2 linked regions of the Arabidopsis thaliana genome follow. The protein of the gene in region 1 binds, or shares a complex with, the protein of each later gene. Links are inferred from orthologs where the notes say so. Each region holds a gene or a part of one and is shown on either strand. Other genes may lie near its edges.

Evidence for each region. Proteins that work in one complex are often made in the same cells at the same time.
Region 2: the proteins of petD (region 1) and AT3G47070 are in contact, whole or in part, in a cryo-EM structure (PDB 9ES9), measured with the Spinacia oleracea proteins. The link is inferred for Arabidopsis thaliana from one-to-one orthologs. Residues at the interface, in NP_054965.1 of Spinacia oleracea: Thr4, Lys6, Pro7, Leu9, Leu18, Ala19, His24, Tyr27, Lys119, Phe120, Gln121, Asn122, Arg125; in XP_056683494.1 of Spinacia oleracea: Asp46, Phe48, Glu50, Thr51, Ile54, Leu55, Arg56, Gly57.

What each region holds. Positions count from the first base shown.
Region 1 is NC_000932.1:72,478-78,172, reverse strand, and holds petD (cytochrome b6/f complex subunit IV), read right to left. Parts: upstream 1,693-5,695; coding exon 1,685-1,692; intron 976-1,684; coding exon 501-975; downstream 1-500. Other genes in the region: rpoA (RNA polymerase alpha subunit), read left to right, coding at 1-272; petB (cytochrome b6), read right to left, coding at 1,881-2,522, 3,327-3,332; psbH (photosystem II protein H), read right to left, coding at 3,467-3,688; psbN (photosystem II protein N), read left to right, coding at 3,793-3,924; psbT (photosystem II protein T), read right to left, coding at 3,990-4,091; psbB (photosystem II 47 kDa protein), read right to left, coding at 4,276-5,695. UniProt on the Arabidopsis thaliana protein: Component of the cytochrome b6-f complex, which mediates electron transfer between photosystem II (PSII) and photosystem I (PSI), cyclic electron flow around PSI, and state transitions.
Region 2 is NC_003074.8:17,334,941-17,341,528, forward strand, and holds AT3G47070 (thylakoid soluble phosphoprotein), read right to left. Parts: upstream 2,794-6,588; 5' UTR 2,568-2,793; coding exon 2,265-2,567; 3' UTR 1,674-2,264; downstream 1-1,673. Other genes in the region: ftsh7 (FTSH protease 7), read left to right, coding at 33-146, 224-348, 440-548, 628-753, 852-1,172, 1,261-1,384, 1,546-1,673; AT3G47080 (Tetratricopeptide repeat (TPR)-like superfamily protein), read right to left, coding at 3,475-3,721, 3,889-5,189; AT3G47090 (Leucine-rich repeat protein kinase family protein), read right to left, coding at 6,572-6,588.

The DNA.
Region 1 (5,695 bases):
AGAACAATCAACATCAAGTTACTTTACCCTTTTTTCCTTTTCATAATCGATTAGTTAACCTAAGAAAAAAAAAAAAAACAAAAGAACTAGCCTTTCAATATATTTTTATTGACCAATTAGAATTGCCTCCCAGAATCTACAATTGTCTCAAAAAATCCAATATACATACATTATTGGACCTTTTGAATAACAGTCAAGAAGACCTTATCAAAATTGAACATTTTCACGTAGAAGATGTAAAAAAGATATTAGACATTCTAGAAAAAAAATAGAAAAAACATTTCAAAAAAAATTGACTAAGACTAAAAAGTCAATTTGAAATTGAAATGGATTTTCAAATTTCAACGTAATTTCTATTTTCCAGTCGAACCCATTTTAATTAATTAATTAAATTAATTAGAATTAGATATGTATCTAGGGAGAATTCATTTGGAAATGACTACTCCCTAGATACCTCCCTAGATACCCACGTCGTTTATTTTACAATTGAATAAATTGAATTAAAAAAGACCTAAAGTTAGAGATTTATCAATCGGTAATGTTGCTCCAATACCTAACCACAGGGCCGCCGCGGTGCCAATCAAAAAGACGGTTGTCGCTACTGGACGACGAAATGGATTTTGAAACTTATTAACATTTTCCAAAAAGGGTACGGTTAATAATCCCGCTGGTACTGAAACCATTAAAAGAACACCCAATAATTTGTTAGGCACTGTACGAAGTATTTGAAATACAGGAAAGAAATACCATTCAGGTAATATTTCCAAAGGAGTTGCAAAAGGATCCGCAGGTTCACCAATCATTGATGGTTCTAAAACCGCTAAGCCTACGTTACAGGCAATGGTACCAAGAATAACTACTGGAAAAATATATAAAAGGTCGTTGGGCCATGCGGGTTCCCCGTAATAATTGTGACCCATACCTTTAGCTAATTTAGCTCGTAATACAGGATCATTCAAATCTGGTTTTTTTGTTATTGGGATAGGTGAATTCTTATGGATCCATCCCCCGAGGGAACCGGACATGATAATTTTTTATCATCCGGCTCGAGCAAGAATTAACCAAACTAAATGAATACATACAAAAAATATAATTTAATATGTAAAAATTAATTATCCGATTCCAAAGTTATTGCAACTAAAGATTCAAGAAATTCCATTCTTACAGGTAAATGCTCAACACCCACGTAAGCTTAAAAAGTTTATCATGATTAAGTGCTTTCTGGGTCGTCTCATACCTTATAAATTCGTCCTTAATCTCAACAATTATATCGAGATTTTTCAAATACAAAGGATTTACTTGTTACTAATGGAGTCTACCCTCTACTCTTCATTAGATCCTGTATTCACTCCGATAGTATCATAAATCGAGTCGATGCAGAGAAAATGAATGCATTTACATACTATTACTATTAATAATTATTTTCTTTTTTTTTTTTAGTCCAAAATAACTAAAAACATAATCAGGATTTTGTTCCATCCCTTAATCTACTGGATTTTACGGAGCCCACTCATCCACGACAGCGTCGGGTACGATCATAGAAAAGATTCTCTTCAAGTGAACCAGCCTATCCCCTGTATGGGGCTTACACAGTGGTTGGAACAAAGACACATTTGGTTGTGAATTCCAATGTAGCAGATAAAGTAATATTTCTGCACGGCCCGATCAATAGTTCAAGTCACACACTCCCATAATCCATTATCTCTTCATAGAATTCCCTTCAACTTTTTATGTCAAAAAAATAATAAAATATTGTGGAGTTGAAGGGAAATATCCAAATACATGTTTTATTTTTTTAATAATCCATATTTATAGCAATAAAATACTATCGTTCCTTCACCAAGTAATAAGTAAGTACAAATACCTAGAATCTATATTATTTATAAGGGACCAGAAATACCTTGCTTACGTATCATTAGGAAATGCATTAACATAAAGACGGCCGTAAGAAGAGGTAATACAAAAGTGTGTAAACTATAAAAACGAGTCAAAGTGGATTGTCCAACACTAGCACTTCCGCGTAATAATTCTACAAGAGGTGATCCTATTACCGGAATAGCGTCAGGTACACCTGTTACAATTTTGACCGCCCAATAACCAATTTGATCCCAAGGTAAAGAATAACCTGTTACACCAAAAGATGCGGTCAATACACCCAGAACCACACCAGTAACCCAAGTTAATTCGCGAGGTTTTTTAAAACCACCGGTGAGGTATACACGAAATACGTGCAGGATCATCATTAGGACCATCATACTTGCCGACCATCGATGAACTGATCGGATTAACCAACCAAAGTTAGCTTCAGTCATTATATATTGAACAGAAGCAAAAGCTTCAGTAACGGTTGGACGGTAATAAAAAGTCATAGCAAATCCCGTAGCTACTTGTACTAAAAAACAAGTAAGGGTAATTCCGCCTAGACAATAAAATATGTTGACATGCGGAGGAACATATTTACTAGTTATATCATCTGCAATCGCCTGAATCTCAAGACGTTCTTCGAACCAATCATAAACTTTATTGAGATAGGTAAACCAAGGTTACTCCCCCTCCAAGAACTGTATATGAGAATTTCATCTCGTACAGCTCAAACAAAAAAAGACCCAAATACTGATTGAAACAGATATGGAATATAAAGTTTTAAACTTGTCTCTCATTCAATATTATTTTTTATTATTTAAAGATATGAAAGAGTCAAAATGCGAAAGCTCGTCTTTGTGGTTAAATGCCAAAAAATCAAGTAAGCTCATTCGTCTTTATGTTGTGTTGATCGTTACAGGCCTCTTGAATCTTCTAGATTACCTATCTTTATTGTCTTTTTTTATTTGGTATTTGTATGGAACGGGGACAGGGATTTCTTCTTGTTTTCTTTATTATTGATAGGAATTCTCTTGTTAAGACCCTACTTAACTAATCAATTGAAACCTCAGATTCATACGAGAACCACGATAATTTAATGAAACCTTCAAAGTCCAAAGTTCACTGAGTGAGAACCATTGGATCATCACTTATTCAATAAAAAAAAAGCTATAATGACTAAAAACATAAAATACAAAGAAGCGTTTGTCCTTTGATCCAAATAAGAGTTTAAAAGCAGAAAATTTTTTTGATTTATTAAAGTTTATAAGATAGAACGGAAAGAAGTCCGGCTACGAGGTTTGAGTATTTAAGTATGAATCATAGTTCGAATACTTTGTGATCTATTTGATCTATTTCGTGCTCCAGATACTCGAATGAATATCCGACGAAGTAAAACCATCTTGATAAAGATGACAGACCCCATTCTCTGTACTATCCATAGGGTCAATTCTAACAAGTCACACACTCATATTCCGGAAATATACAATGCAGAAAAAAATTTCGCGGTCGAACTACCAAAGGAGAATAGGCTAAAATTGTTAGACCTGCATACTTTACTTTTTTGTATCGAGCTAAAAGCTAGAACTTCAAGATTCTTCTCAGTCTAATTCACTGAAATTCCATCCAGTAGAACAGAAGAATTATAAATCTCCAAAATAATAGATAGGAATACCGCAAATAGAGCCATTGCAACACCCATCAAAGGGGTCGTTCCCCATCCGGGAGCTACTTTACCATATTCGGAATTCAATGGTTTCAATAACTTCCCTACAGTAGTGCTTCTTGGACCAGATCTAGAACTATCTTCAACAGTTTGTGTAGCCATAAATCTTATTTTGTATTCATTACGATCTGTTGACTTTGTATACCATTCCGTTGTAAATAAATGATCTTAGCATAGATCCGGTGTGGTCTTTCAATTCTATAATAATGGAAACAGCAACCCTAGTCGCCATCTTTATATCTGGGTTACTTGTAAGTTTTACTGGGTATGCTCTATATACTGCCTTTGGGCAACCCTCTCAACAACTAAGAGATCCATTCGAGGAACACGGGGACTAGTTAACGTAATCAGCCTCCAAATATTTGGAGGCTGATTACGTTAATGAAGATAATGAAAAATTATTTCATTTTTTAGTTGAAATTTTAGGTGGTTCCCGAAAAAAAATAGCGAAAAAAATTATCCCTAAAGTGGATACTAAGAGAAATGTATAAACCAATGCTTCCATAAATTTGATCGTGGTTTACAATTATAGCTTTCATACCTGTTTTGTTTACGTTTTGTTTACTTGGGAGGATAAAGAAAGAAAAAGAGTCAAAGAAACGGCAGCGATTTAAATAAAGATTCCTACAGTACCCTACCTATTAAATAAAATAACAAACAGAAACTAGAAGAAAAAAAGCAATGTTGCATCAGACTGCTTGTCGTTTTGTAGTTGGATCTCCAAGTTTTTGGAATGCCCCGAATTCCACTTGAGCATCCAAATCTGGATCAATACCAGCAAAAACATCTCTGAAGAGGGTTCTAGCACCATGCCAAATGTGTCCAAAGAAGAAAAGTAGAGCAAACGAAGCATGTCCAAACGTAAACCAACCTCTTGGGCTGCTACGAAAAACACCATCAGATTTCAAAGTCGCACGATCTAATTCAAAAATCTCACCCAATTGAGCCCGTCTAGCATATTTTTTCACAGTTGCGGGATCACTATAACTCACTCCATTGAGTTCACCACCATAAAACTCAACAGTTACACCTACTTGTTCGACACTATATTTTGATTCTGCCCTTCTAAACGGGACGTCAGCTCTAACAATTCCGTCTCCGTCTACCAAAACTACCGGAAAAGTTTCAAAAAAAGTAGGCATGCGGCGTACAAAAAGTTCACGCCCTTCTTTATTTCTAAAGACGGGGTGGCCTAACCATCCAACAGCTATTCCATCCCCATTGTCCATTGAACCCGCTCGGAATAACCCCCCTTTTGCTGGATTATTACCAATATAATCATAAAAAGCTAATTTTTCAGGAATTTTCGCCCAAGCTTCTGATAAACTTTGATTTTCAGCCAGTCCAGCACTAACTCTTCGATATATTTCTTGTTGAAAGTATCCCTGATCCCATTGATAACGAGTAGGACCAAATAATTCGATGGGAGTAGTTGCAGAACCATACCACATAGTTCCAGCAACAACAAAAGCTGCAAAAAAGACAGCAGCAATACTACTGGAAAGGACGGTTTCAATATTGCCCATACGTAATCCTTTGTATAGACGTTGAGGCGGACGAACACTAAGATGGAATAGGCCCGCTAATATACCCAACGTCCCTGCTGCAATATGATGAGAGGCTATTCCTCCCGGAACAAAAGGGTCAAAACCCTCCACGCCCCACGCCGGGTTTACGGGTTGTACCTTTCCGGTTAGTCCATAAGGGTCGGATACCCATATTCCAGGACCATATAATCCTGTTACATGAAATGCGCCAAAACCGAAGCAAGCCACTCCTGAAAGAAATAAATGAATTCCAAAAATCTTGGGCAAATCCAAAGAAGGTTTTCCTGTACGTTCATCACAAAAAATTTCTAGATCCCAATATACCCAATGCCAAATAGCTGCCAAGAAGCACAAACCAGAAAACACTATATGTGCTCCGGCTACCCCTTCGTAACTCCAAAGACCCGGATTCGTTATAGTCCCCCCTGTAATATTCCAACCGCCCCAAGAATTGGTTATTCCTAAACGAGTCATGAAAGGTATAACGAACATACCTTGTCTCCACATTGGATCAAGAACGGGGTCGGAGGGATCAAAAACTGCTAATTCATATAGAGCCATC
Region 2 (6,588 bases), on another chromosome or scaffold:
GACCCATTCACATGTTGGAAACTTTTCTGCAGGAGATGGATGGTTTTGACAGCAATTCTGCGGTTATCGTTCTTGGAGCTACAAATCGTGCCGATGTCTTAGATCCGGCCCTGCGTCGTCCTGGGAGATTTGATCGTGTTGTTACGGTTGGTAGAATGGATCAGCTCTGCCTATTTGTAAATGTTTAATATGGTTTTTTCAAAGGCACTGATGCATTTTTCAGGTGGAAACGCCAGACAAAATTGGAAGAGAATCCATTTTGAGAGTACATGTGTCAAAGAAAGAGCTTCCTTTGGGAGATGATGTCAACCTCGGTAGTATTGCCTCAATGACCACTGGTTTCACGGGGTACGCTTTTGTATATTATCAATGATTTGAAGTTTATTCAGTTATACGTTTTTGGGTGTATATCTCATAAACTCTTTTGTCCTATTTGCAGGGCAGATCTTGCAAACTTGGTAAATGAGGCTGCCTTGCTAGCTGGAAGAAAGAACAAGACGAACGTTGAGAAAATTGACTTCATTCAAGCTGTGGAGCGATCAATAGCGGTATCTCTATAACCTCGCTGTTTTATTGATTACGTAAGGCAATTGTCAAAATGTGTTTTCTTACAAAGACCTGTTTCAGGGCATAGAGAAGAAATCTGCAAGATTAAAAGGCAATGAGAAGGCAGTGGTCGCAAGGCATGAAGCTGGGCATGCAGTGGTTGGTACCGCTGTTGCAAATCTTCTTACTGGACAGCCACGTGTTGAGGTAAAATGCAAAAACTTTGTCTACATTTACGCTCATTGTTTATGTTGTTTAGTACGTGCAAATGATTCAAGTTTTGCTCATCTTTGTGGTGTTGTCAGAAATTAAGCATATTGCCAAGAACAGGAGGGGCATTGGGATTTACATACATTCCTCCTACTAGTGAAGACAGATATTTACTCTTCATTGATGAGCTGCTTGGGCGTTTAGTTACCCTTCTTGGAGGTCGTGCAGCTGAAGAAGTTGTTTACTCAGGGCGTATATCAACAGGTGCATTTGATGATATAAGGCGGGCAACTGATATGGCATACAAGGCAGTAGCTGAATACGGTCTTAACCAAAAAATCGGACCTGTGTCTGTGGCTACACTTTCTGGTGGTGGGATTGACGATTCTGGAGGCTCGCCATGGGGAAGAGATCAGGTAACTTCATGTTGCAATGCACTTGCCTAGGTTGTCTTATAATTTCCAATTGTCCATGCAAAAGTTAACCTTCCATGTTAATACACAGGGGAAACTAGTTGATCTTGTTCAAAAAGAAGTGACAATTTTGTTACAATCTGCTCTCGATGTTGCGCTGTCTGTTGTACGCGCTAATCCAGATGTATTGGAAGGGCTTGGTGCTCAACTTGAAGGTGTAGTATAAGTTTATTTGTTTTCATCAGAACAGTTTTTGAAAACATGTAGGACACTAAAGGATATAACTGCTTGCGAGAAAGATTATATCCCTTGTCTTGAGTTTGGTTCATGTGACAACTGGCTGATTTTGCTGATGAAATATCATGTTTTGGTGCAGAGAAAGAGAAAGTAGAAGGTGAAGAACTGCAGAAGTGGTTAAGCATGGTGGTTGCACCAGAAGAACTCGCAGTCTTTGTCGAAGGAAAGCAAGAGCTTTTGCTCCCAGCACAAGCTAGCTCCAGTTAACAACTACTCTGTTCTATCATCAATTATAGCTATAAAGACAGTATCTAACACGGATCATCAGCTCTTTCCTTGCTGCCTTCTGTATCTCCAGGTCAGATCTGGTTATCACCATTGCCCTTTAGCATCCATGGTTCCAGCATGCATAGAACACTTGAATCAAACTTGAAGAACCATATTGGGATATGACTTTTGGTGATAACTCATAGATTTTGGTGGATGTGTTTTAAGATTTGGTATTCTTGCTAGATACAGTCTCTTTAACTTGGCAAAAAAGTGTATAATTGATTCATATGTATAAAAAGCCAGACTGATATGTGTAAAGATCTTAAAGACCCCCACAAAAGGTTGCAACAGCATCACTCATTGTACTCCAGAAAAAGTTGCATTAGCATTACTCATATTAGTCTATTATTCTCAGATTTCTCGAAGTAGTGGAGTTAATCTTGAAAATGTTCAGAAAAATAAATAACTAGATCATGTGATGTCAAATAAGATTAAGAAAGAGTAGCTTATATATAAGTGAAATCCGAAGAATTATAGAGAATGAAAACAGAGGCATGAATAATGCAAATTACTATACATTTTTTTCTTCTATTTCTTGAAGAGGCTTCCTAAGCCACCAAATCCACCCTCGCTCTTCTTCGGCACAGGCGTCGGAGCTGAGTTTTTACCACCGCGAACGGTTCCTCGGCCTCCGGTGGTGGTGCCTTCTTTCTCATCCACCTTCTTTAGAAGTGGATTAGTCTCATAGAACTGATCTTGTTTTGTCATAAACCCAAGAACAAAGTCGATGGGATTCTTCTCCTCCTTTGGGCCGCCTGAACCTCCCTTTGTGCTTGTGGCGTAAACCCTCACGGTGGCCGGAGCAAATGACATAAGAAGCGAAGAAACCATTGTTGTTATCTCTCTCTCTTCTCTGGTTTTTCTTTATCGGTAGTGTGTGTATGTGTGTCTTCGTGTGGCATTTGTTACGAAGGGATTATAACGAGGTTGGTTGAATCTGAGCCGTTGGATTTTTTTGGCACAAGCTCTCCACAAGTGTCTTATCCTCTTTCTTTTTTCCCTTCACACATTTTTCTTTGAATCACTTGGATACATTTTTTTTGGTTTAATTGTTTTTAGATATATCTTGGCACAATTTATGTATATTCTTCTCAAGTTCTTAAACGGAAATTTGCACAGAGAGTCAAAGTCTTCAATTTCAGATTTATAATTTATTTGTCAAATGAAATGTATGAATGCGGAAGAGACACGACTTGATTTTTTTTAAGTGTGTGATCTTGTCCCTGACCATGTTGGTTGTTAGCTGCTGCAACTTGAGACTCTGATCAAAACTAAAAACCTTTTTTCTGTTATTGGGCCGACGAGGCCCATTTCTTTAAAAGGAACTGTGACAAGATGGGATATAAAGCTCTAGAGTAGACTCCTACGAGTAGCGCCACAACACTGATGAACGAAGCTCGAAGAAAGTTACAAGATAAATTCCATTAAACGATTCAAATATGCGCACTTATTATTTCACCAAAAGCAATGCTCAGTGTTTATTATTCGTGTAATAGTGTTGGATCTACACATGTTCTTATTCGATGGAATCTGCGACCGTATATACTACTGAGTGAAAAATTAGGCAAAAGCAAAAAGAAAAAAGAACCAAAGAGAAGCAATGTTTCATCAGCCGCAATGGTTCACTCAAAAACACTACTTACACTTTTCCTCTTGCTTCTATCGTGTACCTAAGTTCCGTGTCGCTGTCTCTTCACTCCAAACAAACCAACATCCATTCACTGCCATTCGCTCCTTCTCAAACCATTTCCTGAGTAGAATCTTCTAAAGGGAAACACGTCTCTTCACCACCGGTATTCCAGAGGAAATTGGCGTAGTTGGCGGCGTAGAAGGAGTTGGTAGGGTCTGCAGATATAGCTTCTAGAAAGTTCTCCTCAGCAGCCCAGAGATCATTCCGAACTTTCCACAGGAAGATGGCGTATTTGCTGTACGTTTCTGCGTCTACATCTTCTGACTCTATTGCTTTCTTGAAGCAGTTCTCCGCTCTAATACATAACCAAAAGCAAACATCATTTGTCAAGTTCCAGAGTTACATAGAATCATAACCAATCTTTTGATACTCAATGTGTCAAGTGCAAGCATATACTTCTCAAAGTACAGGTAATAAAGTCTTGAATGTTAGATGCAAGAATAGGTTAAAAGGATATCTCACCTCTCATGGTCTTGAGTAACGAGGTAAAGGAACTGAGCGTAGTTAGCTAGGAGCAGATGATTGTCAGGCTCTTGAGCCAAACCTATCTTATATAAAAGCTCAGTTCTAGTGTAATTGGCATAATCATCCAATTCAATCCTTGCAGTGATCGGTGAAACAAGTCTCAATCTCATGTCACGATCAACAGAGGAATCTTGCATTTGATCTGCTTCTTCCACCATCGAATTCCACAGACTCACCTCCTCTTCTCTCATCCCTTCTCCTGAAACCGAGTCTCGATGTCTCGGCAAGTGGGAAACCTTGTCAAAATTGATCGATCCTAACCATTTGGACCCATCAAGCTTCGTAGACTCCTTTAACGAAGAAAAATCAATCCTTTGTTGCGTCTGATCCGGACCTTTATTAACAACTGGAGGAGATGCTGCAATAGGTAGGTTTGATGCAACTGAATGCACAGTGTAGTTCGCCAAAAGGATCATCACATAAACCATCAAAGTAGGTGTCTGAGAGAACACACGTTGGAAAATCCACAACAATGAAGCGTGCATTTCCTTCTTAACCTGCTTAAGAACACCCACTCTAGTCTGCAACGCAAAGCTATGAAGCTCCTCAATCATGAAAACCATAGAAGAAAAAGCTCTATTGATAGAACAGTAAGTAGTAGCACTAGCTTTCTTAAGAGCTTCTTCTTGTAACTTCCTCTTTATTATCCTAAGTGATAGAGGTAAATCAACACTGTTTGCTTTACGCTCAATACTTGAATGGTTAACCATCTCTGCCCATGGAGCTTCCAAAGAAGCTAAACCTGGAACAGACTCTTGTAATAGCTTCAAAGAACCAAATCTATGATTATTGCTATCGTTATCGTTATCTACTGCTTCTGATTTCTGTTTGTTCTCTTCTTCTTCTTCATCGCCTGCGTTTCTGAATTGTGAAGCTAATTCCTGCATTTTCACAGAGAATGCTTCGTCGGAGGAGAAGAAACCGGAGCTCGCACTACAAACTCTTCTCAAAGGATTATGTTTCTTCTTCACATCAGTTCTAATCTTCTTCGTGGTGGAATTAGAAAATTGCCAAAGCTCACATGATTTAGATCGGTGAAGTTTCCCAGATTGTGTTCCGAGAAACGTCGAAGGTTTTAATCTCAAAGATCCTCCTCCGACGGAAACATCACCGGCTATTCCACGAGAACGACGGCGTTTAGATGAAGTTAGGGTTTGCGAAAATGACGGACATTGAGGAATCGCTGTGTGTCGTCCTGACCAATGAAACGACGTCGTTGTTGCTACTTTCACTTCCATTATTCCGATGAAACGCAAACAAATCTCAGAATCTGTATAAATCGAGAAAAGCTATAAAGATTAAGACAAAATTGATTACGAGAAATTGAAAGATAAGAGAGAATGAGAATGAGAAAGAGAGAGAGCTTACTTCTTCTTGGTGATTCGAAATTCGTTCGTTGAGAGAGAGATTTTCTCGGGAGAATTTTTTGTATGGTTGTCAGGTCAAATCGAATTCAGAGGCTTACGAGAGCTCCTGAACTTTGTTAGAAACAGAGAAGAAGAAGAAGAAGAAGACAAAAGCCCTTGTATGTTTATATACCAAGAGAGAAAAATTAGTAAATTATTTAATTAATTTACCGGATATAGGCGGTGAAAAGGCGCGTGCTATTTTAGAGAAGAGATTGGTTTTATTTATTTATTCCACGGGTAGAGACGGTTACAGGTGATGAATGATAAGGATTCGGCTAAACTAAGCGACGCGGTTTATTCGGGAAAATTTTGCTTTCATCGCGGCTTCATCGATCTTGATCTGACGGATGAGAATGAATCACGTGTTGGTTGATATAGCTTCGGTTTGATCTATTGCCACGTAGGGGGTTGAAGAATATGGAGATGGGTTCACGGACCTAACGAGGACACAAACTTGGGTTTTCTCGATATTGAGTGTTATGAAATTTGTATTTTCTCGATTTATTCCTGAAAACGAAAGTATGAAAAGAAAATAGCTTGTTTTAGAGTAGATTATCTCATTCTCTAATAAGATTTGTTTTAACAAAAATTAGAATCAGATTTTTAGAAAAAGCTTTAAAATCTTGATATAGATATACGTTCAAGAAAATGGATTATCTTTACCAAATACAGAGATAAGTCTATATGCATGATGCACTGTTTAGTGCAATTTTATGGCATAACCATACAATTACATATAATGAAAGACAACAACATTAAACAGTACTTGGGGCCTTGACAAAACTAAATGGGCTTTATATCTTATCACGAATATGGACCCATCGACCATTGGACCCAAGTCTTTGGATTTAAAGAGTCTCTGTATTTGGCTTTACATGACTTCCCAGCCAAGAAACTGCAAACTGTAGTCTAGTTTCCAAAACCTAACAGCAGGAAACAAGAAGCATCAAAACAGTAACGAAAAGACAAGGATAGAGATCCAAGAATTGTCTGGTTTAGGGTTTATTGAGGAGCCCAATTATGCGTTTTAGATTTGCAGCAACGAGAAAGAGAAACGAGGGTTTAGGGTTTAAGACAATGATGGAAATAAGAGAGCATAAACAGAGGAAAAAAACAAACCACAGATTACGAAAGACAGTATGATATTATATAGGCCTCAAAGTAAGGCTTTTAAGTGGATGGCAAAGTTTGTAGAGAAAACCATAAACACTTCAACGTCTGGCTGTTC